4 linked regions of the Neodiprion lecontei genome follow. The protein of the gene in region 4 purifies or fractionates together with the protein of the main gene of each other region. This does not show direct contact. Links are inferred from orthologs where the notes say so. Each region holds a gene or a part of one and is shown on either strand. Other genes may lie near its edges. The genes, in order: splicing factor 3B subunit 6, structural maintenance of chromosomes protein 1A, coiled-coil domain-containing protein 97 and splicing factor 3B subunit 3.

The links.
Region 1: the proteins of splicing factor 3B subunit 3 (region 4) and splicing factor 3B subunit 6 fractionate together in Homo sapiens (co-fractionation; 5 studies listed by BioGRID and IntAct, with this or other methods). This does not show direct contact. The link is inferred for Neodiprion lecontei from reciprocal best matches to the Homo sapiens genes SF3B3 and SF3B6.
Region 2: the proteins of splicing factor 3B subunit 3 (region 4) and structural maintenance of chromosomes protein 1A fractionate together in Homo sapiens (co-fractionation; 3 studies listed by BioGRID, with this or other methods). This does not show direct contact. The link is inferred for Neodiprion lecontei from reciprocal best matches to the Homo sapiens genes SF3B3 and SMC1A.
Region 3: the proteins of splicing factor 3B subunit 3 (region 4) and coiled-coil domain-containing protein 97 purify together in Homo sapiens (affinity purification with mass spectrometry; 3 studies listed by BioGRID and IntAct, counting the BioPlex papers as one, with this or other methods). This does not show direct contact. The link is inferred for Neodiprion lecontei from reciprocal best matches to the Homo sapiens genes SF3B3 and CCDC97.

What each region holds. Positions count from the first base shown.
Region 1 is NC_060261.1:29,430,138-29,435,404, forward strand, and holds splicing factor 3B subunit 6, read left to right. Parts: upstream 1-2,171; 5' UTR 2,172-2,313; coding exon 2,314-2,346; intron 2,347-2,533; coding exon 2,534-2,652; intron 2,653-2,955; coding exon 2,956-3,184; 3' UTR 3,185-3,818; downstream 3,819-5,267.
Region 2 is NC_060260.1:1,031,337-1,040,599, reverse strand, and holds structural maintenance of chromosomes protein 1A, read left to right. Parts: upstream 1-2,306; 5' UTR 2,307-2,518; intron 2,519-2,585; exon of another isoform or gene 2,586-2,662; 5' UTR 2,663-2,687; coding exon 2,688-2,799; intron 2,800-2,896; coding exon 2,897-3,017; intron 3,018-3,265; coding exon 3,266-3,365; intron 3,366-3,528; coding exon 3,529-3,707; intron 3,708-3,794; coding exon 3,795-3,933; intron 3,934-4,021; coding exon 4,022-4,486; intron 4,487-4,577; coding exon 4,578-5,006; intron 5,007-5,070; coding exon 5,071-5,282; intron 5,283-5,369; coding exon 5,370-5,538; intron 5,539-5,603; coding exon 5,604-5,726; intron 5,727-5,812; coding exon 5,813-5,944; intron 5,945-6,023; coding exon 6,024-6,089; intron 6,090-6,163; coding exon 6,164-6,321; intron 6,322-6,555; coding exon 6,556-6,653; intron 6,654-6,742; coding exon 6,743-7,047; intron 7,048-7,139; coding exon 7,140-7,412; intron 7,413-7,518; coding exon 7,519-7,698; intron 7,699-7,799; coding exon 7,800-7,978; and 6 more. Other genes in the region: caspase-1, read right to left, coding at 829-1,085, 1,158-1,463, 1,571-1,830, 1,934-2,010. UniProt on the Homo sapiens protein: Involved in chromosome cohesion during cell cycle and in DNA repair. Central component of cohesin complex. The cohesin complex is required for the cohesion of sister chromatids after DNA replication.
Region 3 is NC_060262.1:39,744,577-39,750,409, forward strand, and holds coiled-coil domain-containing protein 97, read left to right. Parts: upstream 1-2,421; 5' UTR 2,422-2,543; coding exon 2,544-3,463; intron 3,464-3,656; coding exon 3,657-3,819; intron 3,820-3,912; coding exon 3,913-3,969; 3' UTR 3,970-4,235; downstream 4,236-5,833. Other genes in the region: ATP-binding cassette sub-family C member 10, read right to left, coding at 96-365, 607-1,368, 1,508-1,651. UniProt on the Homo sapiens protein: May play a role pre-mRNA splicing through the association with the splicing factor SF3B complex which is involved in branch-site recognition.
Region 4 is NC_060262.1:21,777,829-21,787,124, forward strand, and holds the start of splicing factor 3B subunit 3, read left to right. Parts: upstream 1-2,528; 5' UTR 2,529-2,678; intron 2,679-2,844; 5' UTR 2,845-2,929; coding exon 2,930-3,326; intron 3,327-3,532; coding exon 3,533-3,705; intron 3,706-3,784; coding exon 3,785-4,281; intron 4,282-4,451; coding exon 4,452-4,617; intron 4,618-4,865; coding exon 4,866-5,034; intron 5,035-5,505; coding exon 5,506-5,657; intron 5,658-5,996; coding exon 5,997-6,152; intron 6,153-6,373; coding exon 6,374-6,665; intron 6,666-6,840; coding exon 6,841-7,507; intron 7,508-7,595; coding exon 7,596-7,712; intron 7,713-7,926; coding exon 7,927-8,305; intron 8,306-8,394; coding exon 8,395-8,883; 3' UTR 8,884-9,296. Other genes in the region: uncharacterized protein LOC107222893, read right to left, coding at 393-515, 601-994, 1,102-1,486, 1,596-1,831. UniProt on the Homo sapiens protein: Component of the 17S U2 SnRNP complex of the spliceosome, a large ribonucleoprotein complex that removes introns from transcribed pre-mRNAs.

The sequences.
Region 1 (5,267 bases), on a different chromosome or scaffold from region 4:
ATTGGAAATGAGATACCGATTTTCGGTACGAGTTTCGTATTCGGTAGTTTCAGTTAACCGAGATATCGAAAGTTCCGTAAATACCGAAGTACCGAAATTTCGGTAGACTTTAATCTACAAATATCGTCGGAAAAAGAATAAGAAAAATCTGTATTGAACTGTACTAAATACGAATAATGTGAATATTTATTTAGATTATCAGAAATTTCGGTACTTCGGTATTTACCGAAATTTCGATATTTCGGTATTGGTATTGATAGAAGGTTCCCATACCGATACATTTCGAGGAAGGAGATACCGAAAAAAATTCGATTTACCGAAATACCGCGCACACCTACTCAAAACCATCGATTGAAGAGCACATTAGATCGAATTCAAGCGTAGAAATGTGTCACAGATGATGTGAAATACAAGTCATCGTCGGCAAACTTGTCGTCGCGGAGGGTGTGAACTTTTTAAGGGGGGAAACCGGTTTATGAGGTCGAAATTTTGCTGTTTTTCATGATTTTTTTTAACCAGGAAGGAATAATCACAAATTGTTTAAACTTGGAGGATATTTTATTTATGTTTTCAAGTACACTTTAAAAATTTTTTCAAACGATTTCCGCCGGAAATAGTGCAGTTACCGCGTGCAGTCCATGGGCGATTGCCATCCGAGCATTTGGCTGGCGTACATCCCTGACGTCGCAATTTTTATCCGTAATCAGCAGGATTTTTTTTTCATTAAAAACATATTTTCTAAGAATATGAACCTAATTTTGATCAAACAAATTGAAAATTGCATGTTTTTGAGGTGTTTGAACACAATGTCATGTTTTTATACTATATTTTTTCATCTTTCTTGCATAAAAACATATATTTTTAATAACAATATAATCCCCGAATTTGGTTCATGTTACGTGGAATTGAATAAAGAATATCTACACCAAATTTCAGAACGATTGATCAATAACTTTTTGAGCTAGAATGTACGCTAGTCGAAGAAAAGTCGTTTCGAGAAAAACGCGTTTGAAATAAAATGTAGCGAAAACGAGAAATTCAAGGCAGTAATTAATTATAGAAAATGCTCACCGGTTAATCAGCTATTCTGGCACCATATAGCAATCCCTCTTCTTGCTCATATGCGTCATTCTATTATTCAATAATAGCACAGCGGTATTGAGGCAGGTAGCTGGAAAAGAAGGGCCTGGGCGACCGCTCCGTTATAATTACCGTGCGCTTCTTCACGGAACCGACGGGCGGTCACTTAAGTGCTCATTGCATTCGAACTAATGGGAATTTTGCTTTGAAAATTTGACCACATATTCTTGAATAGTTATACTAACGATTCATGCAATAAACAAAAAGACGATTTTACGATCGGTCTAAACTGGTTTCCCCCCTTAATTAACGTGGCTAGAACGGGGGTTTGGGGGGGGGGGGGGGGGGGGTAAGATAACAAAATTGTAGTCAACATAGAATAAAAAAATTCGTTTGGACGTATTCAAATAAATATCCTCTAAAAATCGTGTTTTCGGTTTTTAGAAATTTTCAAATTCGTTCAAACCGTAAGCGAGGAACCGTTTCGACGTCTCGATTTTTTGCCGTTTTTGCCGGTTAAACAATTTTTCCACCCCCTGTAGCACTCAGATTTCAAAATTTCAACAAGATATGTTTATTGGAATAATGTAACGCCTCTACCCTGAAAATTGCTAGCTGTGGGAAATTTTTTTAGGCTTTTTATGAAAATCGAGCCCTATTTGACTGGCCCAAGTATGGTAGGTGTAAAAATTGGAACTCGAATATATTTAAGATAAATGCATATCGCATTTGGATTTTTAATTATCTGAAATAAGTATCGTGTGATACTTGATTATGTATTTTTCTGAAAAAAAAAAATCGCTACGTTGAGGGTGTGGAATTTCCACATGGTGCAAGATCTAGGTGTCGAGTTCCGCCACACCATGCCCACAAAAATTGCCGGCGCTGATAACAGGCATTGGTTGAACTCTAATTGAAATTATTCCTCTAAAAATTATGGCGCATCTTGTTATATATTTCACAAATCTCGAGTATTTGACTTGCTTCTTTATGCTTCTGTAGTTTGTTGCGCGCGCAGCAAATTACAAAGGTTCACTTCGAGTACGACCTGTTGCCACCAGAGGGCTGGCAACGCCGACTCACCGCTGACCGAAGCTCTTGCGTTCGGCGACAGTGTTCATCAGTGTTCATTTGGACAGCGCTCTGACAAGTCGTTGATTTCGAAGCTCTGTGAGTTGAATTATTGAGTTTTGTTAATTTGATCTCTGAACCTGACTCAAGTACACCGCAATCATGACGATGGCAATGTTACAACGGCGAGCCAACGTGAGTATACAACGCTTGTTGAGGAAATTCGTAATTATAACCGTCTGAATAATTCTAACCTTCCGTTCCTTCGACTCCTAACCTCACTTTCACTCCGAATCAATCCCTACGTTTATTCTCTTACATTTATACGTTTACCTTGATAGTATTAAGTGTTTGTTTTAAACTATTTTTTCAAATTTATAAGGTTCGGCTCCCCCCAGAGGTCAACAGAGTTTTGTATATAAGAAACCTGCCGTACAAAATCACCGCTGAAGAAATGTATGACATATTTGGTAAATACGGAGCAATACGGCAGATCAGAGTGTAAGTTAACCTCATTTAATGTTAATTCTACTTGTTCTAAAAAGTTCTGCATTTTTATATTCAAAAAATTATACTATCCACGTTATTCTGCTTCTGTTAATTCATGGCGATGAGCTATTATCAATACCGGGGTAGAACGAAATTCACTGCTACTACCGTACTCGCTGGAACTAGTGGAACTACGAATTTGTTTATCATGTGGCAATAACTTCAGTCTTTGAAAATGAGCTTGAGATATACGTGCATTTATTATGCAGAGCAATTTGGACACGAGTGTAAAAATTTGAGTTTTTTTGATTGCAGAGGAAATACGGCAGAGACGAGAGGAACAGCATTTGTGGTTTATGAAGATATCTTTGATGCAAAAAACGCCTGCGATCACCTGAGTGGTTTCAATGTCTGTAACCGTTACCTAGTGGTACTGTATTACCAAAGTAACAAGGCGTTTAAACGCGTCGACGTTGATAAGAAGATGGAGGAAATCGATAAGTTGAAAACGAAGTACAACCTCAACGAAGAAAAGAAACCGTAATGTTAAGAAATTTAAGTGATATTTTGAACAATTACAAAGTATCGCTACTGTGAATGCGGCAGTTACTGCATAATCATGAGTGGTTCAATTATGTGGCAAATGTAAGTGTCTGCCTGACTTGTGTGAAGTTATTTCCTATCAAAGCGAGAGGTATGATAAGCCCGATCCTATTCTCTACTGCACTGTTTGCAGTTTGTTGTAAATATAAAATGATTTTATATTGCATATTTATAAATCATCACCTAATTCGTGTTACATTTAATGCATCACGCACAAGAACAGTGTAGAAAAAAACCACTTTTATAACCTAGTTTCTAGCATTAGTAAACAGTAAGTGTGTTTATTTTTAGTAGATTGCTACAGGTTTTTGAAACAAGTGGCATTGAACCAGTAAAATCGACGTGATATTTAATGACGATGAAAATTTCAATCACGAAACAAAATGAACTGCTGTTTCATTTTCTATTAATTTTCAAATTGCGAATTTAACTTGTGAATTTCAAGTGTTTGAGTACAAATAAGGTAGTTTGTCATTTCTTCATCCAGTTAAAAAATAAAAGTTTTTTGATGTTGTAATTCGTAACTACTATTTAGTGGTATCAATATCGAAATAAAAACGAAAAATGCCGTTCAATATGATTTTTCTCATTAATAATTGAGAATTACGCACCTCCAAACGATCCATCTCTCATTTTGCTGAACATAAATTGAATGCGAATAAATTTCGAGGGATTAAAATTAGACAGAGAAAAGTCTGTGCATATCAATTACTTAGTTTACGCATTGAATTCAAATTAATGCTACCGGGTATGATCGAAAATTTAGAATAAAAAACAGAATGCTAATGTCGAAGCAATTTAAAAATCTTAATAACAAAAATGAAGACAGACATTTTTTAAATGAAATAGCAAGATTGAAACTATTGCAAATCAACAGAAAATATTTTTCTGCTTCATTTAATTATATTCTATGAACTTATGACCGTAAAAGATTGTTTACAATCAGTGTATAGCGAAATCGCATAAATTAGGAGTAACAAGTTCTTTTGCCAGCAATTCCGAAAACGACGAAGTAAAATCAGCTACAAAAAATAATTAGAACATTCAAAAGTACGTTAGGATCACGAAATACGTCAATTGATACGACTTTTTCACACGGAACTGAGTTATTTCAAGCAAAGTTGCAATATCCCATGTTTATAAAAAATCCCGCTAAGGGATTTGGCTACGATAAAGAACGAGCTGTAGAATCGGTCGATTTTTTGTGCTAGAAAGTGCAACTTTAGAAAGTATTTTCCGCAAGGAGGGGGAATGGGAAATATAGCAATGCACAGTTCTTCATCGATCGGAAGCTTACAGCAAAGTAATTATTTTTACAAGAACATTGAGATCAGAAGCGCGATCAGCGACCTGGAAGAAACAAAATTTTAGGCCAGGTTCGTCATGTGCGAGTAGTAAAAACAATCTTCTTCTCGTGTAGAACACTCCGCCGTAACTCGCCGCATACTTATAGTCAAACGATTAACATTTAGATCTTCGGATCTGGAAATCATGATTATGCCGCAAAATATGTTCTCTGCATCATTCAACGGCTGAGCAGAACAACATCGTACCTCAGGATTTGTTTAAACGACATCGTATTCGAGAATTAACATTACGTTACTAAATTATAATTCAATTCCGCAGTGAAAAATTGGTTTTATTTTTATGGGTAATATTCATTCTGTTCTATGAATTAGTTATTAACTGTGATTTTAAATGATTATATTCATCAAATTATAAATAGCAGTTTCGTTATAAAATGACTTTATTAATTAATTATGTTAAAAACTAACGTCAAACAAAAATAATTTCAATAACTTTTTTTCACTGAATGATTGTCATCGTCTCTTTTTAATGTAATAACGCATGTCACCCTTAATAAGGTTTACGATTTGGTTGGTTTCTGGAAAGAAACCAGTTCAGCTTCTTTGGATTTTATAATCAGTAATTATATAAGTTAAGTAGCACTTCTATTCCTTTAAAAATTATAAGTACCCAGCAGTGGTGTAACCTCGGAAAATTTCACGAACCTAATTTTACCT
Region 2 (9,263 bases), on a different chromosome or scaffold from region 4:
CTAGCAAAATTAGTTTACATACGAAAAAAAAGGAAATACAAAAGTAGGAAATTTATCTGTGCACGATTTACACTATTCGTTGGATTGGGCCATACATCACATCCTATCACTGCTTACCAACTAGGTATGAATCTGAAGAATACCACGGGTTTACACTATAGAACTATAGAATATAATAGGTGTGTGTACAGTATATCTTACGTAGTAGAAACATTGAAATTGTATATATATAAAATTGACCTAACAGTAAATGCACTTTGTTCCAGTTGTGGCCATCAGCCAAAAACAAAAGGACAAGCTATATGATATAATACGTACACTGTTTGAGATCAAATGATTACATCTTGAAGAGTTTTGTGAGTATTAATTACAATTTAGCCATCAGTTGTCGCTTAAGTCTCCTCAAAGTAATAAGATCTAAGTAATGTTACAATGCTCTGTCCTGATCGCAACTTCACAAATACTTCCAGCAATGCAAATTCATTCAAGTTGTTCTAGTAAATAACATTCGATTTTGGTCCGTTGAATTGTTTCGTTTGTGTCATGTTATTTGTGGCTATTATAAGCATTTTTTGTTGTGTCAAATGGCATCGTCAAAATATGCTTTAAGTAACTGCTGTATATGTGAGCAAGTAACGGCAGATAGTTCATGACAAACAATGTGTGCAGTCACTGAAGTAACCTAATCTAATGGAATAAGATGTTACAGATTATTACCTGGGATGAAAAATTTCCGTCGAATAGAGCGAAGGATATTCATAGCTGATAAAAACTGTTCTCAGTCAAGAATTATGGCAAATTGAATTAAAACGATCTTGACCTCGTGCATCAATTAGCAGCAACTCCGTTCTTAGGCAATGTGAACTTCACTAGGCGTGTCAGCATTGAAGTGATACATGGAATTTGTTTCTGCTGATGCATAGTAATATTGTCAGGAGTATTAGATTCAAAATCAATTGCAACGCGCTGACAAACAAAAGTCAGGAGTGTTAGCAAATCCCATCGTGAGCCATTTTCGCAAAGCTCCAAGCACAAAGCTTGCATGAACCAGGATCCTCGGGTCGTGTTCCTCCAAGAATAGAAACCTAGAAGAGAAGAATGAAATAAATATTGCTAACAATGTACTTACAAAGCCTACAAATGACAATGGTAATTACCTGGTATGGTCGAGTAGGCTATTAAAAAATCTGCATGGCTTGGTATGCGAAAACTTTGGGAACCATGTCCGTCTGTTTCTGTGCGTTCTCTGAGGCTAACACCAGGATCTAATTTGTCTCCCTGGCATGCCTGGATAAAGAACATTTTAGGTTTACCAGAGAGTGTCGGACACTTGTCTGCGGTAAAGTATGACCAAATTGTGTCAGCTTTGTAAGGAGTGTCATGGGCGTATAATATACCCAGCTCTCCATGAGACAGTACAGCCACAACTAAACAATCATGATCTGAATGATCCATTTCTGAAACTGATTCATTTCTCATGTTAGTATGCCTCAAGGATAAGTGATGAAAATTCTTGTAGGATGAGTTGGCAATTTGTAAAACAGGATCAAGCATTTGATGACACACAAACCTTTTTCTAGTTTCTTCTGAATATCCTTGAATATTAGATTCTGAAAATCTTTGACCTCGAATCCAAGTTTGACTAGACAGTTCCTTAGCGTTTCACAGTCAACGTTAGTGCCAGATCTGGGCTTGAGGTGATTTATGGTGAAGGATTCGTGGTTAAAAATCAGAGCTATACCTCGCTTGGAATGATTCATGTTGTAGTGAGTCGCGTAGCGCATTGTCGGACTATTTTGTAATTGATTTCCATAAGACTGCGCGTTGCTCCTGAAGGAAATTAAAGGTAAACAATCTTACTTCAGTTCTATTTGAAGGTTATATTAGGTTAGGGTTACATTTGGTAGATTTGATAAAAATTTTTCCAACTTACCTTCCGTAACCAAAGGCATCTCCGTAGTCATCCCCTTCGACAGAACTGTCGACGCAACTCTGAATTGTCGCAGACATTATTTTTTTCTATCTTTAACACCTCCAACAAGTATCGATAGGTTTTATCAATATAAACAAACCGCTTTACATGCAGCTTTGTGGATACACTATCCACACGCGTAACACTGTGACGATATATGGACGATATTGCCTATGCGACCATAGGTATGAAAATGTCGGACGTAGCAAGCAATGACCCTGAATGACTCATCCGTCGGCTTCTTACCTCCTCATGTTCACAAATTATCCTCTCAGGCACAGAGAGCTAATTTCGGAACGCACTTGCAGAGGAGGATTCGTGGTGAGTATTCCAAAATGGTTCCAAAGTGGTTTCAACTCCCGCGCATAGTTCCCGCCACGGTTACCGCGGTGATATATGACAAAACATCAGACTGATCGGAACGTTGAACGGAGATTCTGGCGCTTGGACATTCGTTTCTGTATTCATTTTCTCAGCGTCGTAGCGTCAGCATTGTGGCGTCTCGCGCCTGCCACGAGCTACGGTTTCGATGATTTTTCGTTAGAGGTATATTTACGTTTGGCTGCGACATGTAAATAGTTTTCAGTGTCAACACTCATGTTTTGTTGGTTAGTATTTTAGTGGAGATTCGAGAGGCGTGGACACTAGTAAACAATAACCGCGGTGATCCGTACGGTTCGCATCTGACAGGTTATTGGATACAACCATAACCAGGATGCCAGCATTTCTGAGTTACATTGAAGTCGAAGACTTCAAATCCTACAAGGGAAAACTTAGAATTGGTCCACTTAAGCCCTTCACGGCAGTCGTAGGTCCAAATGGATCCGGTAAGACCTTCCTACCAAATTCTAAATTGTCATGATCTCAAGCTTGCAACGTCGTTACTGAACATATTTTCAGATCTTTGACTCTGTCAAATTACAGGCAAATCAAATTTCATGGATGCCATCAGTTTTGTCATGGGAGAAAAAACTAGCAGCCTTAGAGTAAAAAGATTCAGTGAGCTCATCCATGGTGCTTCAATTGGTCAGCCCGTTAAGCGAAGGTAAGTAAAGGCAAATAGTCATGACATTTTTTAGTAAAATAGGATGAATGAGTATGGGGGTAAGTCCAAAAGATAGCGTTCAAGGTATAAATACTCATCAGGATGGAATTGGACTTGAACAGTACATTAATTAACTTCATGATTTTATATTTGAAGAAAATGGTGCCTCTGCCATCAATGGCTTGACCTATCTCTCATTTAGCCTTTAGATTACCATATGTTTAATTGTTGATCGGTTTAACTTTCAGTGCTTCGGTTACAGCTGTATTTAAAATGGAAGATGGTACTGAGAAGAGTTTCATGCGGTCAGTGCAAGGCTCCGCTTCCGAGCATCGTATCGATAATATGGTGTGTTTATTACTCATAGTTATTAAATTCAAATACATCTTTGTCCCTTAATTCATCAAAGTAGATCATTAGGTTTCAAAGCTTGTGTGTGAATAATCAATGATAATTAAAATGTGCAATCTTCTCATTTTGTAATTTCTTAAACCAATCTTGCATCCTGTAGGTTGTAACTAGTCAAGTGTACCTTAACGAGTTGGAACATCTTGGGATAAATGTGAAGGCTAAGAATTTCCTCGTCTTTCAAGGGGCTGTGGAGTCGATAGCTATGAAAAATCCCAAAGAACGAACAGCTCTTTTCGAAGAGATCAGCAATTCGGGTGCACTGAAAACTGAATATGAAAGGTAAATCTGAAATTTCTTACTCACGAATTGTAGCTCAAAACGGTTTGATTACATTGTACTCAATGTCTATATTTCAAACCCACTCAGGCTCAGAAGTGAGATGTTCAGAGCGGAAGAAGAGACACAGTTCTCTTATCAAAAAAAGAAAGGTGTAGCTGCTGAGAGAAAGGAGGCAAAATTAGAAAAGGAAGAAGCCGAGAAATACCACCGTTTAAAAGAAGAATGTGTAAGTGGACTGAACAACTTGATTTTCCCCCAAATTTACCTCTTGGCTACACATATTTTGATTTCTTCATTCTGTTTATCAACATCAGGCAGAAAAGCAGGTGGAGTTACAGCTCTTCAGGTTGTTTCACAATGAAAAAGAGATTGAAAATTTAGAAAACACTCTTAAAAAGAAGCAGCATGAAGTGGATAAGATATTGAAGAAAAAGGAAAAAGTGGATGAGAAATTGCGAGAGCAGAAAAAAGAGGCTGGCAAACTAAACCGTGAATATCAAAAGATTGAACAGGATATTAGGGAAATGGAAGCAGAGATATCCAAAAAAAGGCCCACTTTCATCAAGGCAAAAGAGCGTGTCACTCACATGCAAAAAAAAGTCGAATCTGCTCGCAAATCTTTGGCAACTGCTCGTACTGCTGACGAAGCCCACAAGAAAGACATAAAGGAGCTTCACGACCAGTTGTCCCAAGTTGAGCAAGCTAAAAGTGCCTATGAGGCGAATGTCGCCGGACAATCACAGTCACAGGGGAGAGACGTACAGCTTGAGGATGAACAGGTATATTTTTAGAGTAAAATGTGCAATATAAATTTTTTAACATTAAACCAGAAAAATTGGTATGGTTAATATTATTTAAAAATGATTCAAGGTCCGAGAGTATAATAATCTGAAAGAAGCGGCGGGAAAACAATCAGCACGCTACTTGCAGATGCTCGATTCCATTAATCGTCAGCAAAAATCCGACCAAGACAGGCTTGATAATGAGGGTAGAAAAAAAACAGACGTTGAAAATAAGCACAAGCAGAAAGGTCACATGAGAGACGAGGCTCAAAAGCGTGTAGAAAAGCTTGAGGAGCACATTAGAACTTCAGAAGCTGCGTTGGAGGATCAGAAGAAGCTCAGAGCTGATCTACAATCAGATGTGGGAACATCCAAAGACAAGATACAACAGATACAGCGCGAGTTGGAAAACATATCTGAACAGCTTGGTGATGCCAAAGTTGACAAGCACGAGGTTTCAAGGAACAAAAAGAAGACAGAAATTGTTGAAAATTTCAAACGTCTTTATCCTGGTGTGGTGAGTAAAAAATGTCCATTGTTTTGGTGGTAAAACTGTATTCTATTTTATTTATTTGGTTTAGTACGACCGCATGATCAACATGTGCCAACCGATCCACAAAAGATTCAACGTAGCTATTACCAAGGTCTTGGGGAAGTACATGGAAGCTATTGTTGTAGATACTGAAAAGACAGCAAGACAGTGCATACAGTATCTTAAGGAACAATATTTAGAACCAGAAACGTTCTTACCACTTGATTATATTCAAGCAAAGCCATTGAAGGGCAGACTTAGGTATGTTAAACGCCGTTCGGATTTCTGGAATGTGAAAATTATCTTACTGCTTATCAATTCTACATGGTGCTAATAATTATTTTGCAGAAACATTCAAGAGCCCAAGAATGTCAAGCTTTTATACGACGTTCTCGCTTTTTCGCCAAAGGATATTGATAGAGCTGTTTTATTCGCCACTAATAATGCTTTGGTTTGTGAAACTCCCGAAGACGCCAATAAAGTTGCGTATGAGATGGACAAAAAAACTAGATACGATGTAAGTAAATGCATATGAAGAAAAAATCGCGAAATATAAATCTCACGTTTATTTACTCAATTTAGTGTGTCGCACTTGATGGAACTTATTACCAGAAAGCTGGAATCATTTCGGGTGGAAGTTTGGATTTGGCAAAAAAAGCAAAAAGATGGGACGAAAAACAGATGTCACAGTTAAAATCTCGGAAGGTAACACTACCAAAATTAAATGCTCACACATCTGATTGTTGACGACCATAAAATAACAACCTAGAGATGCGCTCGTTGATTTTCAGGAAAAACTCACAGAAGAACTAAGAGAGGCTCTTAAGAAATCTCGCAAAGAATCCGAACTTAATACAGTCGATTCTCAAATTAGGGGACTTGAGACCCGCCTGAAGTACAATAAAAATGATTTGGTAACAACGGTAAGTGGACAGTACGGCTATACAATTAGTTTTTAACCATTTTGGCAAATCACGTTCACTATTTTAATTTAATCCGTAGAAAAAGCAAATAGCGGATCTCGAAGTGGAGCTGCAGGCACTACAAAATGAGTTAAATCTCTTTGGTGTGAGTAATCGATGAGTATTGGGAGAAATATTCCCATGATAATCGATTAATTGTATTGATATACTTTTTTGTAGCCCACAATAAGCGATATTGAAAAAACAATGGCCACCAGAGATCAAGAGATCCAAGCTATCAAGGAAAAAATGAACAGTGTGGAGGACGATGTATTTGCCAACTTTTGCGAACAGATCGGTGTTGCCAATATTCGTCAGTACGAGGAAAGAGAATTGAGGTAGAGTCCAGGAACCTGTACCATCTTTTTTTTTTTTGCCCTCTTAATTTGAATAAAATCAATGCTATTCAGCAATTATCTCCCAAACGTCTGTCAATACCTGCAGATCCAGCATAATCCTTGATCCTTGGTCCTTCAATCGTTCCACAATTGCTGATATCATTAGGTATCAATTTATGAGTGAATCACAATGAAATTCATGTTCAATCTAAATACCAAACACTCGTGTCACAGATCACAGCAAGAGCGTGCCAAGAAACGAATGGAATTCGACAACCAAACAAATCGTATTTTGAACCAGTTAGATTTTGAAAAACAAAAAGATACCGAAAGTAAGAATATTTTTCATTTTCCAATTTTGAAATACCTAATGAATTAATATCTTGGGAATTAATTTTAATCTGATTCTACAAAACAACAGGCAATGTACTTCGCTGGGAAAGAATGGTTCAAGATGCTGAAGATAAACTAGATGCGGCTCGTCAAACCGAGTCTCATCAACTGACTGAGAAAGAAAATGACGAGGTACAAATGAAGAAATTAACATCGACTCGTATTAACAAAAAGCTAGAGATGGATCAGGAAGAGGAGGAAATTGGAAAGGCAAGACGTGAAGCTGGTGCTATTGCAAAAGAAGTTCAGGCTGCGCAAAAACAGCTAAATTCAATTGAATCAAAGATTGAACAAAGGAAAGCAGATCGACATGCTATTTTGATGCAATGCAAGGTGGGTAACTTAGATATCCACAAGGTATCTCAATTACTTTCTAATTAGTTACATCCTTGAAAATCACGATAAAATCATCATCCAATTTTCAGATGGAAGACATTGCAATACCCATGTTGCGTGGGAACATGGAGGATATCACACAAGAGAGTACTGTGGCTGGAAGCGAAACAGGCACAGACTCTACATTGAATACTCAACAGCAGTACGAACGGGAAAGTTTAATCACCATCGACTACGGTCTTCTCCCTGACAGTCTAAAGGACATAGACGATGACGATATTAAAAAGACGAATGACAAACTCAATAGAGTAATAAACGAGCTTCAGGGAACAATACAGAGAATACAAGCTCCAAATATGAAGGTTTGGATTTACATTTTTATTGTTGAGCTAAATTTAACTTGACTCAGGTCACTTCTAGGTCTGAAATGAATCTGATAATTTGGAATAAATATACTTCTCGATATAGGCGTTGCAAAAGTTATATGCGGCTAAGGAAAAATTGCAAGAAACGAATGAGGAGTTCGAACAATCCCGTAAAAAGGCTAAAAAAGCTAAAACTCAGTTCGAGAAGGTTAAGAAAGAGAGACACGATAGGTTCATGGCATGTTTTGAGCATGTCGCCAATGAAATCGACCCGATCTATAAGGTAAATACTGAATATATGTCTACATACTCTTACCGTGTACAGATTTAACATTCTTGCTTCACTTTTGATTTATATTTTGACTGTTTTTCGACCCTTATCAGTCTTTAGCAAAGAACCAGTCCGCCCAGGCATTCCTTGGACCAGAGAATCCTGAAGAGCCGTATCTGGATGGTATTAATTACAATTGCGTTGCTCCGGGTAAACGATTCCAGCCAATGTCCAACCTTTCTGGTGGTGAAAAAACGGTTGCGGCCTTGGCGTTGCTGTTTGCCGTTCATAGGTAATTGCTTTCAAAGTCAAATCGAGAAGTTGGTGAAGGTATAAAAACGGCCTAAACCCGTTGAAGTTTCGGTGTGGTTTCCTTTCGATCTAGGATCTCTATGCTTCGATGTCATAAATTCTTTTACTGTCGTAGCTTTCAGCCAGCACCCTTTTTCGTTCTGGACGAAATCGACGCAGCCCTGGACAATACGAACATTGGAAAAGTAGCGAGCTACATTCGTGACAAGACTAGCTCTCTACAGACGATTGTTATTTCGCTCAAGGAAGAATTTTACTCTCACGCAGATGCGCTCGTTGGCATCTGCCCTGACGTAAGTTGTTCCGCACACGATCCCGACTCTATCCGCGATCGTAGTGTCTCGCTTGCTTCTACATGAAATAAAAATGAGATTCATTTCGATCGTGTATAGCACTCTAAAGTGCAAAAATTGAGTTTTCGTGATTTATCTTCACATACGTCTATTTGGCGATGTTACTAACGGCCTGTTCTGTTTCACAGGTTGGTGAATGTCTAGAGAGCAAAGTCCTAACACTTGACTTGACAGAATATCCAACTAATTCACAGGCGGTCGAACGGGAACCCGCAGGAATTTTCCCCCCAGCACCTATTATGAATTTGTAAAATTATCTTCAACGTAAAAGTTGGGATTAGGGATTCGGGTTTCCTGGTAATAACATTTGGAGAACGTAACGAAATACTTAATGTCAATTTTTATTTTATTTCCTTATGTTTGTTCTGTATTTTTGCACGTATCATCTGTGTTATGATCTGTAGTCTAAGCAGAATATTATAAGGAGACACAGTCTATGGGTTATTATAAAAGTTTATAAAAATTCTTTAACCATTTCGTAGTATTTTCAATATTTAGATATACCTACAACCACAGATGCGTTGATATCCATGTTATAATCTTATCAAAAAATGAATAATTTATAAATGTTTAATTAGCCTTCTTAACTGTTTATTTTTTTTTTCTCGTGCATACTGCAACAATCATTTTATAGAATACCGAATATTCAGTTTCAAGTTTTTTGCCAACTGTTACTACTGTATACCAAATTCAAAGATTACTCACATCTATTTTATTGTTTCAAAGCGTTTTAAGCCCGCAAAATTGTACAAAATTTATCTAATTTTCTAAAGATTGCCAATCTATTCTACCGGTACGGATAGGAGCGCATTCCAGCAACGAGCATTTCTTCCTTGAATACATGCCCAGATATTGAAATGCGTCAGTCCATAATCCAGATGTATTTTCAGAATTTTTCGCAGCCGTTGGAAT
Region 3 (5,833 bases), about 18 Mb from region 4:
TCTTACATCTCTCAACTAGATTTTAACAGATTAAACTTATACTAAATATAGAAATGCCATATTTATGCAAATGGAAATAATCTTTTCGTACAGACCTGATCATGGATATAGCGATTCACATCATGGCTGACACTAGAGGTACTGACATCAACGGGGAGATCATACAAGTCATCAGAATGATTCAGGAGTCCTTTCACTCCTTTTTGCATGAGCGGCGTAACCCAGTGAAACAGCAGCTTTGAAATAACAGTTGCATCTTCCATAGCAGTTCCGAGATAACTCGGGTCTCGCTCTTCAAGAAAGCCATCGTGAAAGAATGTAACAGAATGACCATGACTGTTCAAGAGAGCTGTGTGCTCCCCTACCTGTGACAAGATTTTTTTTTTACATGTTTTACTGAGTATCTAAATTTGCTATGCCAGTTGCCAGATATTACAGCGTCTGTGTTGTTCAACACCGATGGTAAGAATTTCAAGAAGTAAGGTATTGAGGGTACATTTTATATCAGTTTTCTGGAGAAACGAAACTAAAAATGAAAGAAACTTGAAGAAAAATTTCGGACTCTAAAACGATGACGCTAAAACATAAAGGTGTAGAAATACTTGCCTGACTATGTTCGACGAAGCTTGCACTGCCTGGGATTAGCGTTATAGCGTACAAGATTAAGAGCATTACAGTGGCGATGCTGAATCCAAGTGAAAGATTTGGCAGTGTATCGTCAAGGGGAGCGTGTTTGACGTGAGAACGTAACAGCAGAATAGAAATACCCATTAATAGAAAAAGTAGAGCTCTGATGGACACAGGACCGCGTGGGTTAAACTGATTTCCATTGCTAAGGCCTAATACAAAACAGAAATGAACAACCCAAGCTAAGCCTTCAGTTCCGGCTACCAAGTAATCAATAGGCTTTGCCGACGTGGCTACGTTTTCGATGTTATTATATACTACATAACTATGAGTATCTTCTCGAACAGCTGAAGAACTTGTCGCAGTATGTGGAAGACTGTTGTTTTGATGGAAAATGCCTTTGACCGCAGTACCAATTTTTTGCATAACTTCTTCAGCTTCTACAACAATGTTAGGTTCATTTGCATCTGTCGTAGGCTTGACGACGATGAATGGAATATTCAAATTACTGTCACTGTCAGCACTTTTATCATTGATATTCGCAATGTCACGATGCAACGGAAGCATTGTTGCATTGCTCAATATGATGTACGCTTTGATGATAGGCAGTAATGCTAGACATGCGGTTATAAAAAGTCTGAGCACAATTACATAATAAGTGCGGTTTGACCGTGAAATCAACACCGTTCGTTTTCCGCAATAGTAGGCTGATAGCATTGCCAAAAAAGCAAGGACTGGAATCTGTAGAACATATAAGAAAAATTAATTAGGGGTAATATCCTTCAAGAATCTTGTTTATCTACATTCACTCAGTCAGTCTGTGATTTAAGTAGTTCGAAAGCTTATATTTATAATTATAATCCACTGAATAAATTTCTACCTGCAGGCATAACTGCTGAAAGCATGTGCCAAGGTCGCGTGTATTGGGATTAATGGGTCTTATGCTACCTCTGATCCCGCACAGCTCGGTCCAGTTCCAGTGCCATAGTCCATTATCATCGCCATCCATTGTCATATAGTCCATTGTGATTGAATGAGGAACTGCGAACAAATTGGTAAAATATCTCTTATAGCCAAAAATGTAGCCAAGATTATACAAATCCGAAAATGTGAAGACAAAAGCTCATCCCCCGGCATCTTACGCATAAATTTCCTTATGAAAACTTCGATTGAATCGAAATAACTAAAATTAATCCGGCGGATTGTAGAGTGGAAACAAAAACCAACAACAATTCATGGCCAAAAGAGGACAATTATTAGCTGCACAAAAGCAAACACGTCGTTTGACACGTGTGCTGCAGGGCGCGTATTCGCTTATATTCTCATGTAAAATTCTCTGCAGATCTCGTGAAATCCGTATTCGGCTTAAGATTAAGAGGAATGAAAGTATATTTCTACTTTTTTTTAGATCGTAGAGAGGATTGAAATTGATTTAAACGGCTCGAAAATCAATTTCACAAAATATCGAAGTGGCAACTGGCGAAAAGCCACGGATTTTGACAAGTAAACATAACCTCAAGACATATTTTGTATTACACGATAACGAATTACCTGGTCTCACGAGCTGTTCTTCATAATAAACTCTCCGTTTCTTACCGCTGTCACTTTTCAATCGAATGCAAACTCTCGCTGAGAAAAGTCTTGTGCATGAAATATCGAGCCGACGGCTTATTTTCTTTGTCACCGAAAAGTTCCGAAGGAAACTTCCCGCAGTTCTTATATCTTGTCTTACCTATTCGCTTACACCATTGGTGTAAGTTACCCGCAGTGATTCACTAGCAGACGACAGGGAGTTTTAAGGTTATGTTCGGTGAGTTGACGCGGGTGACGCGCAGTCTGCGTGACACAGTGACAAACTTAAATAAACTTTAGAGAATTGTGACTTTGAGCCGGTGATATTTGCGTGATATTTATTGATGAGTAAGGACGAAGGTTCGACAATAACACCCGCAACAGCAGCAGCAGCAGACGATAATCAAGAAGCGAATATGACGGTCGACAGGGAGGCCGGAGATTCTGAAACGAGCGAAACCGCCGAGCAGGCAATTCTCTTCGAGGAGATGATCGCCTGCGTGGCAAATTCCAAGGCGATATTCAAGAGCCAGCAGAAGAACGACCCGGACTTGACAGTTGAGGAAAAGGCGAGCATCGCGAGCGACCTGCTGCACAAAAATCGCTCCATGTTCCTCTCCAGGTTCGGCAGGTTTCTGCGCGGCGAACATCTTCGGTACTTCAACGAGCCTCTTGATCGGCCGGACTACGAAGTAGTATTCCACGTGAACAGACTGCGCCGCTTTCACAACCGCTCGCAGAGGCGAGTCGACGTGAAAAATCGCAGGTACCAGGCCTTAAAATCGCTTATTGAAAAGGGCGAGTACTTCAGCGAGACGGAGATGATGCGGAGGAATCCCCTACTTTACGAACACCTGGTAGGCCAGTACCTTACCGAGGAGCAGAAAAAGGCCAGAGACAATATCGACACCCAGAATATTACGTTCGTCAATCTTCTGCTCGAAAGCATTCAGCGGGACGGGACCAGGAACTTAAAGAAGGAGCAGCAGGATGCCGAGGACGATGTCATGGAAGAGAACGACTCGGACGACGATTTCGAGGGTGCCGTTGACCCCGAGGATGACTCTGAAATTAGGGGAGACTCCCGGTGGGGCGAGATGCCCGGCCAATCGTCAAACCCGTACGAAAAGGAGGCCAACGAAAAGAAAACTGACAGCTTCTACCGCGAAATTTCAACCAAGGAGCGGCAAGTTCTTAGGGACGAATTCATTACCAATATGTATCACAGTTTCTTGAATGGGAGGGACAAGGACTTCGACTACAGGTATAACATCTTCATTAACCAAACATTGCCGCAAATCAGAATGTATTAAAAGCGCAATTTCAGTATTTAAATCGCAAAAACGAATGCCGTGGATTCTAATCGTTCGAAATTTAAATTTGAAAATAAGCTGCACGAGCGGTGCTGCCATCTATAAAAAACCGTTGGATCGATAGCGTTGTGTTCTGTGTTTCAGCACCGTCGACGACGAGGAATCGTATGATAACGTAGATCTGCGGACCCAGGATGAGGAGGAAAAGTATTTCGACTCGGAATCACCAGAGACAATTGAAGAGGGCAAAATGGAGGAGGGAGAATCCAGTGAGGATGAACTGGATAAATATATGAAATCGTTGCAGGTTAAATAAAAATATTGATTACGGAAGAACTTGTTTGCACTATTCTTTTAATTCTTGGCTCGGTACAGATATTTGCTAATTTTTTTCAAATAGGAAACGCCCACTCCGATCGAGCTCGCCGACAAAGTTGAGAAGCAAACGATACATTGAACGGCTTCAGCGTAATTCCTTTATTCATGAGTTTGTAAATATGTATCCGTTTTTTGTTTTAATTAAATTAATTTTCTTTATCACTTACTAATGATCATAAACCTAAATAGGGTCTTCACTTATTGCATTACTATACCTAAGTTCAAACATCCTAATCGTCAAAGCTGTCACAAATGCACGATAAACTTAAGCTTACGTATACTTTGAATATTCAATGCGAATCAATACAGTTGTAATTGTATAATAAACCTGTGTATATTAGATGACGAAGATGTTTTCTGCCTTAAATTCCTTTGGTATTGTAAAAACAGACGAATGTCCCGCTCAGGTTGGTAAATATTATTGCACGGAATCATCTCTCTCATAGGCGAAGTGCGGAACAATTTCGTCAATGTCCGCCAGACCTGTTGACCCAAATTGCCAATTAATTAAACGAGTATCTGCTGTCAAACACAGTCATCAACGCTCATGCGAAGTGATAATAATAATGATAGTAATCACACCGCCGAACGAAGTACACTCTTTGAGTCCGCTTATTCGGGGTTCACATGCTCGATTTTCACTCGATAATCATACCTGTACGCCCGTTTGCAAAATCGTAATTGCTCTCTATTCACACCGATAAGGGTTCAACGCAATGTACGTTAATACACACGTTGACTGAAGAATAAACTTCAGTCAACGATACACATTTGCCGTTCACGTTCAAATTTGAAATATGTAATATCATCACACGTTGCAATCAGATCTCGCGTGTACAAAGATACCAAGCTTTAATTTTATTAATTTTTTTCATTCTCTCTCACGAGCATCATCTTCGGGTAGTTACATCGTGATTCACTGTGAAAGAACCAATATATATGTAACGCCTAACGGATATTTCTTGTGAGAATAAAGATTGAATTATTGAGAGTAAACAGTAGGCAAACACACATACACGTGACTTTTGCAAACTAAATTCTCAATTTCAAAACTTCCGTTACAGGTGAATTTAGAACTAAAATAATCTTGCCGTCACCTTGTGTGGCCCAAAACAACATTCGATAACTGACCAGTGATACAAATGATTTTACAGCTGAAATAAAACTCCAAGCGAATCAATGTTGGCCATCTTGATTTTGTATACCGGCATTTGAAATGATGCTGATTTTCTTTTCTTTTCTTTTTTTTTTGCTACCTAGACCGAGTCGTATATTTGGCGCCGGACATTGGATCAAACGAATCATTATTGCCGTCAGAAACTGGCAAAACATATTCTACAATGCGGTAATTAGTTAGTTCCGAAAATTAATTTAGAAAGTTACGCGCCGCAACAATAAGCGCTAAACCGGGGCCAGCACCTGACGTCCGTTAAGTTAGAATAACCACACGTACAAAATCAATCAAACTTGGTAGGTATGAAGATGCTCTTTAGTTGCTATTTTGTTCCCCAAGTCTCCATTTTGTTGCTCAAAGCGGTTTTGCCAGAAGCAAAGACGATGCCAAGTCGAGAAAGAGCTGGTAATGAAAAACAATGTCGGACTTATTGTTAGTTGTTATTTAGTTGCTCCGTAACGGTGGTAATCTCAGGTCGTATTTCTGTGACCCTGAAGACCGCCCTCTTACCTTGCGAAGTATTTTCGAGAAAAACGAACCAGGCTAAACTGGCAGACCGCCGTGTGTTTGACTAACAATAAATATCAATAACGCTGCGCGCGTAGATTCAAGTACATTGTAAAATTGTGCCGGTTAATTCAAGTTCGCTGTTTTAGATATTCAAACGCAAGCTCACGAGCAGTGAATAAAGATCTATTGCACCAGTTAATTTCTGTGGTTATTGATTTCAAGATCAGAGTTTTCGGAATTATTAACATAACAAAATACC
Region 4 (9,296 bases):
GTTCGAAAGTGCACCCTGAAGTCAGGCGTTCGCAGGTTTTAATATTTAAACCTGTAAATACACAAGAATCATCACTACTATATTGTTTCAAAATTCTATTGAGTATATTGCAATATTAACGGGGTATATAAACAATAATAATCTCGTCACTTCCGTGATAATTCCAAACAAGAAATACAAAAGTTCAACAAATTATTAATTGCACGTAAATTATAGACATGTGGTTTCAAAACAATAAATGAATATAGGTGTAGAGATATTCGATTGACTATAAATGGATTAATAACAATTATGCCATACATTATAACGTACAGAATTGAAAAAGAATTCTCTTCGTAGACTTATCATTTACCATTATCGAAGATATATTCATTCAATCCCATAAAACTCACTTTTTTGTAAGGCCTCAGACTGTTTACCATATGGTTTACACATCGCTGGTCTAACACAAGCTTTCATCCGCGCCATGTTCTTCATCACTTCCGCAAATGCTCTTACAATCTTTTCTTGTCCACCTGTAAAGTGTAAAAAACAATGACTCAAACATACCATATCATTAATAAATAACTCATGTAAACAGGTAAATAAATAGCTGCCCACCTTCTGAGTTCGATGAAGACGATCGAGAGCCCTTGTCGCTGTCAACGGACCAAGCTCCGTTATGCAGCGCGAGCAGATCTTTGTTGGCATTTCCCAAGCTTTGAAGATTGCCCAAAGCACCTAACCCGCTAAGTCCATCGAGATTGTCCAAATTTGCCCTCAGAAAATCAGTCAATTTATGATCTGATATTGGAATGCTGGGTATGAGCGGCTCGTAGTGCTGTTTGCTGGCACATTTCTTTTCCTGAGAACTAGGCCGGTGAGGAATATTAAGTGATGGACGACTTGGAGGACGTTGGAGATTCATTTGGTTTCCGCTCCGCATTTCCGACGAGCCAACCAAATCCACTACCGAATTGGTCATGTGGGTATTGGATGGAGCAACACTCATAGTCTGTGGCAGCAGAAGAGTTGCATTAATCATCGTCTTACACTTTGCCTAAATTTTATGTTATGTTCTAGCACAAGCGCATGCAAAGTCAATACAATTCAATAAATTACCGTCTGAAAGTCAGCGTTGTGGGGAAAGCTAGAGCGTAAAAGAGATGCTGTTGTTTCGTTGTCTTGAATGTAAGTCGGACCTATGTGATTCATTTTCTGACTCATCTCGAGCTGATTTTTGTAATAACGACACGCAGGATTGGGACAATTCTGTACCACTTCAATGATAAACTCTTTCTCCATGCCAAAACACTCTCGACCAATGGTGTACGACTCCATAACGGCTCTTACGGTACCTTCCATACCAAGGTGAAGACCGTGTGGGCCATTCATGTGCTTGAGCATAACTGCGTTTGCAAAATGTTCGTATGGCAATATTATCTTGCCATTTTCTCGTAGGACCAGTCTGCCTTGCGAATCTAAGGCAACTCTGGACGCCATCATCCTGAAACAAGATTGAGTGTGCTTAAATTTTTGGTGCGTTTTCCTATTTTTCTATCATTTTTCAAGCATGACATTATGACTTGGAATATATTGACTGATTCTCATCTCACTGAAGGTAGGTGGTGCTTGGTAACATGGAAGCCTCCTTAAGCTCGGTAAAGCATTGGAGTAACTCGATGCTCGGATTCCAACCCTTGTTTTGCAAATAAAGCTGCAGCAGCATGTACATTTTCTCAGTGACATATCCAGCCCCGTTCGCTCCCCCCGGATAACCACCTCCAGGAGGTCCCATCTCTGTCTGCATACCCTTAGCCACTATATTTTTCATAGTTTCCGCCAAGTCCATTCTGGAGATAATAATAATAATGATTAAAAACACACATTAGATAATGTGCGATATACGTGGTGCTCGGAATTGTTTGGGACCAAATAACAAGCTATTGTTTACCTCAGAAAATCTGTCAAAATTGCGGAATCAGTGACATTTTATTCCACGGTGCTTTTTTCTCTGTTTTACTTCGTGTTTATTGGTACACGAGAAATTTTGTAGAAAAAAAAATAATCGGTCTGTAGACATGTTTGATATCTGCCACGAATCCCGGGTACGCCGCGAGGCTAACGATATTTATTGCTTTCGGCCATTGTTGTTTTCGGCAAATGCAGAAGCAGCGGGCGGCAGTCAGTCGGTGCCCAGGGAGTGTGAAAAAAACATTAGCCGATTAAGCCGCCGCCCCCCTCCTGTCTGGCTTTATATTATTTCGGTTAACTTACCCCAGCCGGTATCACCGCAGCATTCACAGCACCGTTGTTATCACAAATTTAGGGCCTAATCGCCCCTATACTATCATTTTACAATTAATTAACTACTTTGCATTTGCAAATATAACATAAATCGCAATTATTATATCCGCGAGTATAGCTTGCCCATACACCCGCCAGGGGCGGTTGGTAAATTTTCTACGGTTTGCTCCCTGGAAGCTTTTAGCTTATACGTCACTTCCGCGACGCTCATCAGCGACCAGACGTAACTTCCGTTTTCGATCCCTCCCGCGGTGGAACGACGGTCACCGCCATTTTCATTTCATCTCTCCGAGTCGCCGTGCCGTGTCCACGTTTCGGCTACGCGGTCCCGAAACATTAAATAAAAATCCGCTGACATCGGCGGATTTTTACGAATTCGAAACACCTATCAGGTAAAGTCTTGTTCATCTAATCAGTCTCTCTCTATATCATGTCGTATTTATCTTCCCAAACAACTTCGTAACCCGAGAAATGCATTTTCATCAAAACTACGTATAGGCGCGGCGGTTTTTTTTTTCTACCCGACAGCTTATTCATCGCGATTATTTCTCTTTGCAGCATGGCAGCCTGAAACTTATCTGCGAGCACGAAGCTAACGCTGACAAATTAAACTTCTTATAACGGATTATCAGCCGCATTCACGATGTATCTGTATAATCTAACACTGCAGCGCGCCACCGGCATCACCCATGCCGTCCATGGTAATTTTTCCGGCAGTAAAATGCAAGAGATACTTGTGTCACGCGGCAAGTCGCTCGAGCTGCTTAGGCCCGACCCGAACACTGGAAAAGTTCACACCCTCTTGACCGTCGAGGTTTTTGGCATCGTCAGGTCTCTTATGGCCTTCAGGCTTACGGGGGGCACCAAGGATTACATTGTCGTTGGGTCCGACTCTGGTCGCATTGTCATTCTAGAATATATTCCTGCTAAAAATGCCTTCGACAAGGTGCACCAAGAAACCTTTGGCAAAAGTGGTTGCAGAAGAATTGTACCTGGACAATATCTAGCCATTGATCCAAAAGGAAGAGCAGTTATGATCGGTAATTATGAGAATTTAAATTTTTTACTCAGCTTAACTGTGACCAGTTGTGTGCTAAATGATGCTGATCTTATGATCCGTGTTTCAACTGATTATCCATTGATTACAAACTTACAAACTGATGGTACTATTAAAACTGGTAGTTTTTTTAATTGAATCAATGTAATATAATATTTTCATTTCTGACGGTAAAATTGGCTTTTTCAGGTGCTATCGAGAAGCAGAAACTGGTTTACATATTGAACAGGGATCCAGAAGCCCGTTTAACGATCTCGTCTCCCCTTGAAGCCCACAAAAGCAACACTCTAGTCTATCACACAGTTGGTGTAGATGTTGGATTTGAAAATCCAATGTTTGCCTGCTTGGAAATTGACTATGAGGTGAGATACACATTCCTTGTGATTTATTTGCAAGGGTTGTGAAAGGTAATTAATTTTGCTTTTCGGCTTCCCTGTACAGGAAGCAGACAGTGATCCGACTGGAGACGCAGCTGTTAAAACTCAGCAAACGTTAACCTTATACGAGCTTGATCTTGGATTGAATCACGTAGTGAGAAAGCACAGTGAACCTCTAGAGGAGCATGCAAATTTCCTTGTTTCTGTTCCTGGAGGAAATGATGGTCCCAGCGGTGTCCTTATCTGTTCAGAAAATTACCTAACCTACAAGAATCTTGGGGATCAGCACGATATCCGTTGCCCAATTCCCAGACGTAGAAATGATTTGGACGACCCTGAGCGCGGGATGATCTTCGTCTGCTCAGCAACTCACAAAACCAAGAGCATGTTCTTCTTTCTTGCCCAAACTGAGCAAGGGGATATTTTCAAAATCACCTTGGAAACTGATGAAGATATGGTAACGGAAATAAAACTCAAGTATTTCGACACAGTGCCTGTCGCCACAAGCATGTGTGTCCTGAAAACAGGTTTCTTGTTCGTCGCCTCTGAATTTGGAAATCAGTAAGTCTAATTTTTAGCTGAAACATCACGTGATCTTTTTATCAATCCGTTTATCCAACCAATTACCAGTGGTTTCAACTTTTGATACTGATGATGTTAACCATTTATGGCTATGTCGGTTCAGCTTCCAATTGATCAGACGTGTTTGTAATCGTTATACTTAATTGCAGCTACCTGTACCAGATTGCTCATCTTGGTGACGATGACGACGAACCAGAGTTCAGTTCAGCAATGCCACTTGAAGAAGGTGATACCTTCTTTTTTGCTCCCAGACCACTCAGGAACTTGGTTTTAGTTGATGAAATGGACAGCCTATCACCGATCATGACTTGTCAGGTACCTAAAACTGAAACTACTTTTTCAATATCCAAAATTAGGGAAGCATTTCCAAGTAGGAGATCGAATCATCATTGCACTTTCTCCTGAGTTGTAATGCGATAAAAAAAATTCCTTGTCGCCTTTGTTTTGTACTATTACAAGCCGAAGTGAATCAAGGAATGATAATCACTTGAGATGTTTTACAATCTCGTTATCCGTGTTTTGGGACAGCAAAATAGATCATTTTGCTTGCTTCGTGTATGCAGGTCGCTGATTTGGCCAATGAAGATACTCCTCAACTGTACATGACTTGTGGTAGAGGTCCAAGATCCACGCTGCGAGTTTTGCGTCATGGACTAGAAGTTTCGGAAATGGCAGTCAGTGAGCTGCCTGGAAACCCAAATGCAGTCTGGACAGTGAAACGAAGAGTTGACGGTTAGTTCAAGTTTTATAGTTCAAAAGATAAACAGGAACGTTTTGTTGATCCACTTGCAAGAAGATGCAAGCCTGTCGTAGCCCTGGAAACGTGCAGTGTGTTCGTTTCATTTCATTCATTTGCAAGATTTTTAACGCAGTATTCAAATCCGCTAGCTAGAGTCCGTTTAAAAAGAATATTAACGAACCTGGTGGCTTGATACACTTTTATCAAACACCAGTTCTCTCTTTCAGGCTGCCAGCGAGCTAGTGGTTGACTGATGCAATGCAGAAAGACTAAAAGGTGAGGATCCTATCGATGGGTCTGGGATAAGTCCGACCTGAGAAACAAAACGAAAAAAAAACTTAGTAAAATGCGTCGCCCCTTGTACACCAAGATGCGGTCATTTTTCCGCGCGTCTCAACGTTCTTTACACATTGGTTACTTAACTTTCCTAATAATCTAGACGAATCCTTTGATTTCGGTTACAGAAGAGTATGATGCATACATCATAGTGTCCTTCGTCAATGCCACTCTTGTGCTTAGCATCGGTGAGACTGTTGAAGAAGTAACGGACTCTGGTTTCCTCGGTACGACACCTACCCTCAGTTGTTCTGCCCTCGGAGAAGACGCCTTAGTACAGGTAAATTTATTGTTCGCCTTCAAAATTCTAAACGTAATGTCAAATGATCCTAAAAATCTAGTCATCTTATTGATTGAGATACAGCACATCAAGTTTATAAATAATAATGCACTGCGGTATCTCCAGCGCCTGGTCAACCACGCGTTGGTCGCAAAAACAGTGCTAAATCAAAGTATCGGGTTTCGCATCGTTGGAGCACACTGTCACTCAAATGTATTCTCCTGGTATATTAACCCGAACACTTATCACATGTAACTATCGGCCGCATATCCAATATATGCCTCGAGTACAACGATGTGTAAATTGAATGTCCATTCAATTTCTTTCCCTTTGTTGCAGGTATATCCTGATGGAATTCGTCACATTAGGGCCGACAAACGAGTAAACGAGTGGAAAGCACCGGGTAAAAAGACCATTGTAAAATGCGCTGTGAATCAACGCCAGGTTGTGATTGCCTTGACGGGAGGAGAACTGGTATACTTTGAGATGGATCCTGTGAGTTAGATTTCTATTTCTTGTGGATAGATCGCACAGTTTGTTCTCTCCACGATGTACCTTATTCTGTGGAGATGTATAACGTGCAAAAATTAATCCACTTTTGCTTCTTCTGTCCAGTTAATACTGGTCTGAGTGAAACAAGGGTGAACAATATGCCGTTTAATGTTCAAATTTTGAATAAAATGAAGACCTGCAATTGAAGTTGTATTTTATTACAGACTGGCCAACTGAATGAGTACACAGAGAGAAAGAAAATGCCATCCGAAGTGATGTGCATGGCCCTTGGTAACGTCGCCGCTGGAGAACAAAGATCCTGGTTCCTTGCTGTTGGACTTCAAGACAATACAGTCAGAATCATTTCCCTAGATCCGTCTGACTGTCTGGCACCCAGAAGTATGCAGGCCTTGCCTGCAGCTGCTGAGAGTCTCTGCATTGTTGAAATGGGGTCTAAGGAAGCTGACAATTCGGAAGATTCTGTCTCTCAGCAATCAAGTTTATACCTGAATATAGGTAATTTTGAAACAAATGCTCTAAGATTTTTATAAATCCTGAAAATTATCTGATGACCAAACGACAGTTCCCTGAATATTGATGAAAAACCTGCAGTGCTGATTATCTTTTGCTTTTCAACGAACTGACAATTGTGTGATTTCAATTATGCTTAGATTTGTATCTTGTTTTTCAGGTTTGCAAAACGGCGTACTTCTAAGAACGGTTTTGGACCCGATTTCCGGTGATTTAGCCGACACGCGAACTCGATATTTGGGGTCCCGACCGGTAAAATTATTCAGAATAAAGATGCAAGGCAATCAAGCGGTGTTAGCGATGTCCAGTCGCTCTTGGCTCAGCTATTATTATCAAAATCGTTTTCATCTGACTCCTTTATCGTATGAAAGTCTGGAGTTCGCGTCCGGTTTCAGTTCCGAACAATGTCCCGAAGGCATAGTCGCTATATCCACAAATACCCTGAGGATTCTAGCTCTCGAAAAACTTGGTGCTGTTTTTAACCAAGTCAGTTTCCCGCTTGAGTACACGCCACGTAAATTTGTGATTCACCCTGATTCTGCCCATCTAATCATCCTCGAAACCGAGCATAATGCATACACTGAAGAAACTAAGCAACAGAGACGCCTGCAAATGGCCGAGGAAATGCAGGAGGCCGCTGGAGCCGAGGAAGCGGCTGTCGCCAGGGAGTTGGCCGAAGCTTTTCTGTCTGAAGAACCAAATGAAGCAGTATTCGGCGCTCCTAGAGCCGGCCCGGGGCTGTGGGCCTCAACTTTGAGACTGATGGCACCTGCCACTGGACAAACCTTGGAGCTACATCGATTGGAACAAAATTACGCCGCTTTATGGTATAGTTAATTTATTTATGCACCTCATTGTTTTTATTTCAAGTTTATTTCTGTAGCTCTTAACTAAGTGTATTAATTATTTTTACAGTTTGTCATTAGTCAGATTTGCTAATCAGGGTGATCAACAATTCCTCATCGTTGGTGTAGCAAAGGACTATCAGCTCAATCCTAGAGTGAGCAACGGCGGGTTTTTATACACCTATAAGTACGTAAAATAATGCTATTTCGCTATTGTGTTGTCGATTTATTTATTTATTTTTTTCTTGCCAAGTAAAGTTATGATGAAAAATATCACATTAATTTCTGTATCTTGATGATATACCTGCAGTTCTGAAAACACAAGTCAATATTAATATTTCGATATAACCAAGAAAGAATTTTATTAATCTAATTTTTATATTTACTTCATTCGGTTCCAGAGTAAACATAGACTGTACAAACCTTGAACTTATGCATAAAACTGTGATGGACGAGGTTCCTCTGGCAATTTGTTCTTACCAAGGACGAGTCCTGGTCGGAGTTGGAAGGATGTTGCGTCTGTATGACATGGGCAAGAAAAAACTTCTTCGAAAATGTGAAAACAAGCACATTCCAAATGCCGTGGTATCAATAAACGCCGTAGGTCAACGTATATACGTTAGCGACGTTCAGGAATCCGTATATGCAGTTAGATACAAACGACAAGAAAATCAATTAATCGTATTTGCTGACGATACGCATCCGCGATGGGTCACGACAACTTGCGTTCTTGATTACGATACTGTCGCAACGGCTGATAAATTTGGGAACATTGCAGTGGTAAGTATCTTTATTAACTATCATTGAATTTCAATCAACTTTATTTTTACCTAAAAACCAATTAACCCCATTCTTTTACGCTATTTTAGATTCGCTTAGCTTCAGGAATAAATGATGACGTCGACGAGGATCCAACCGGAAATAAAGCACTCTGGGATCGCGGACTGCTGAACGGAGCGAGTCAAAAAGCCGATACCGTGGCGTGTTTCCACATAGGAGAGACTGTGATGTCATTACAAAAGGCTACGTTGATACCTGGAGGTTCTGAAAGTTTAGTGTACACGACGTTGAGTGGAACAGTTGGCGTCCTCGTGCCATTCACGAGTCACGAAGACCACGACTTTTTTCAACATTTGGAAATGCATATGAGATCGGAACATCCGCCGCTCTGTGGTCGCGACCATCTTTCATTTCGATCTTATTATTATCCTGTCAAAAATGTAATCGACGGTGATCTTTGCGAACAGTTCAATTCGATTGAACCAACCAAACAGAAGGGTATATCAGGTGATCTGGAAAGAACGCCCTCTGAGGTCTCAAAAAAACTTGAGGACGTCAGAACTCGATACGCCTTCTAAGCTTATTATGAAAGGGGTCTCCCTTTGAGAAACCACACCGTAAAGTGAAGTCGCGCTCGACTGAATGACCCTTATTCTGTTGGAAACATCATTCAGACCGTATAAGGTAACAGGGTAAAAATATTTTACGGTATTGATCTTGTACTTTCGACTTCCCTTTGTTTAACGGCGGGCTGTGAGTAAAACTCGCTGATGTTTTTTAAGCTAGTTAACTTTGGTAAAAAAAAAAGTAGCAATACTTGCTATAATGAAATACTCAATTATCGCCCAATACATGTATTAATAAGAGAAATTGTAGAAAATGTAATTCCACGAGTATGAAACTCTGCTTCGACTGCACAAATTTCATTGTTTAGTCTATGAATTTGATTCGACGTCGAATTTCGTTAGAATTAAAAAGTGAAACGCCGACC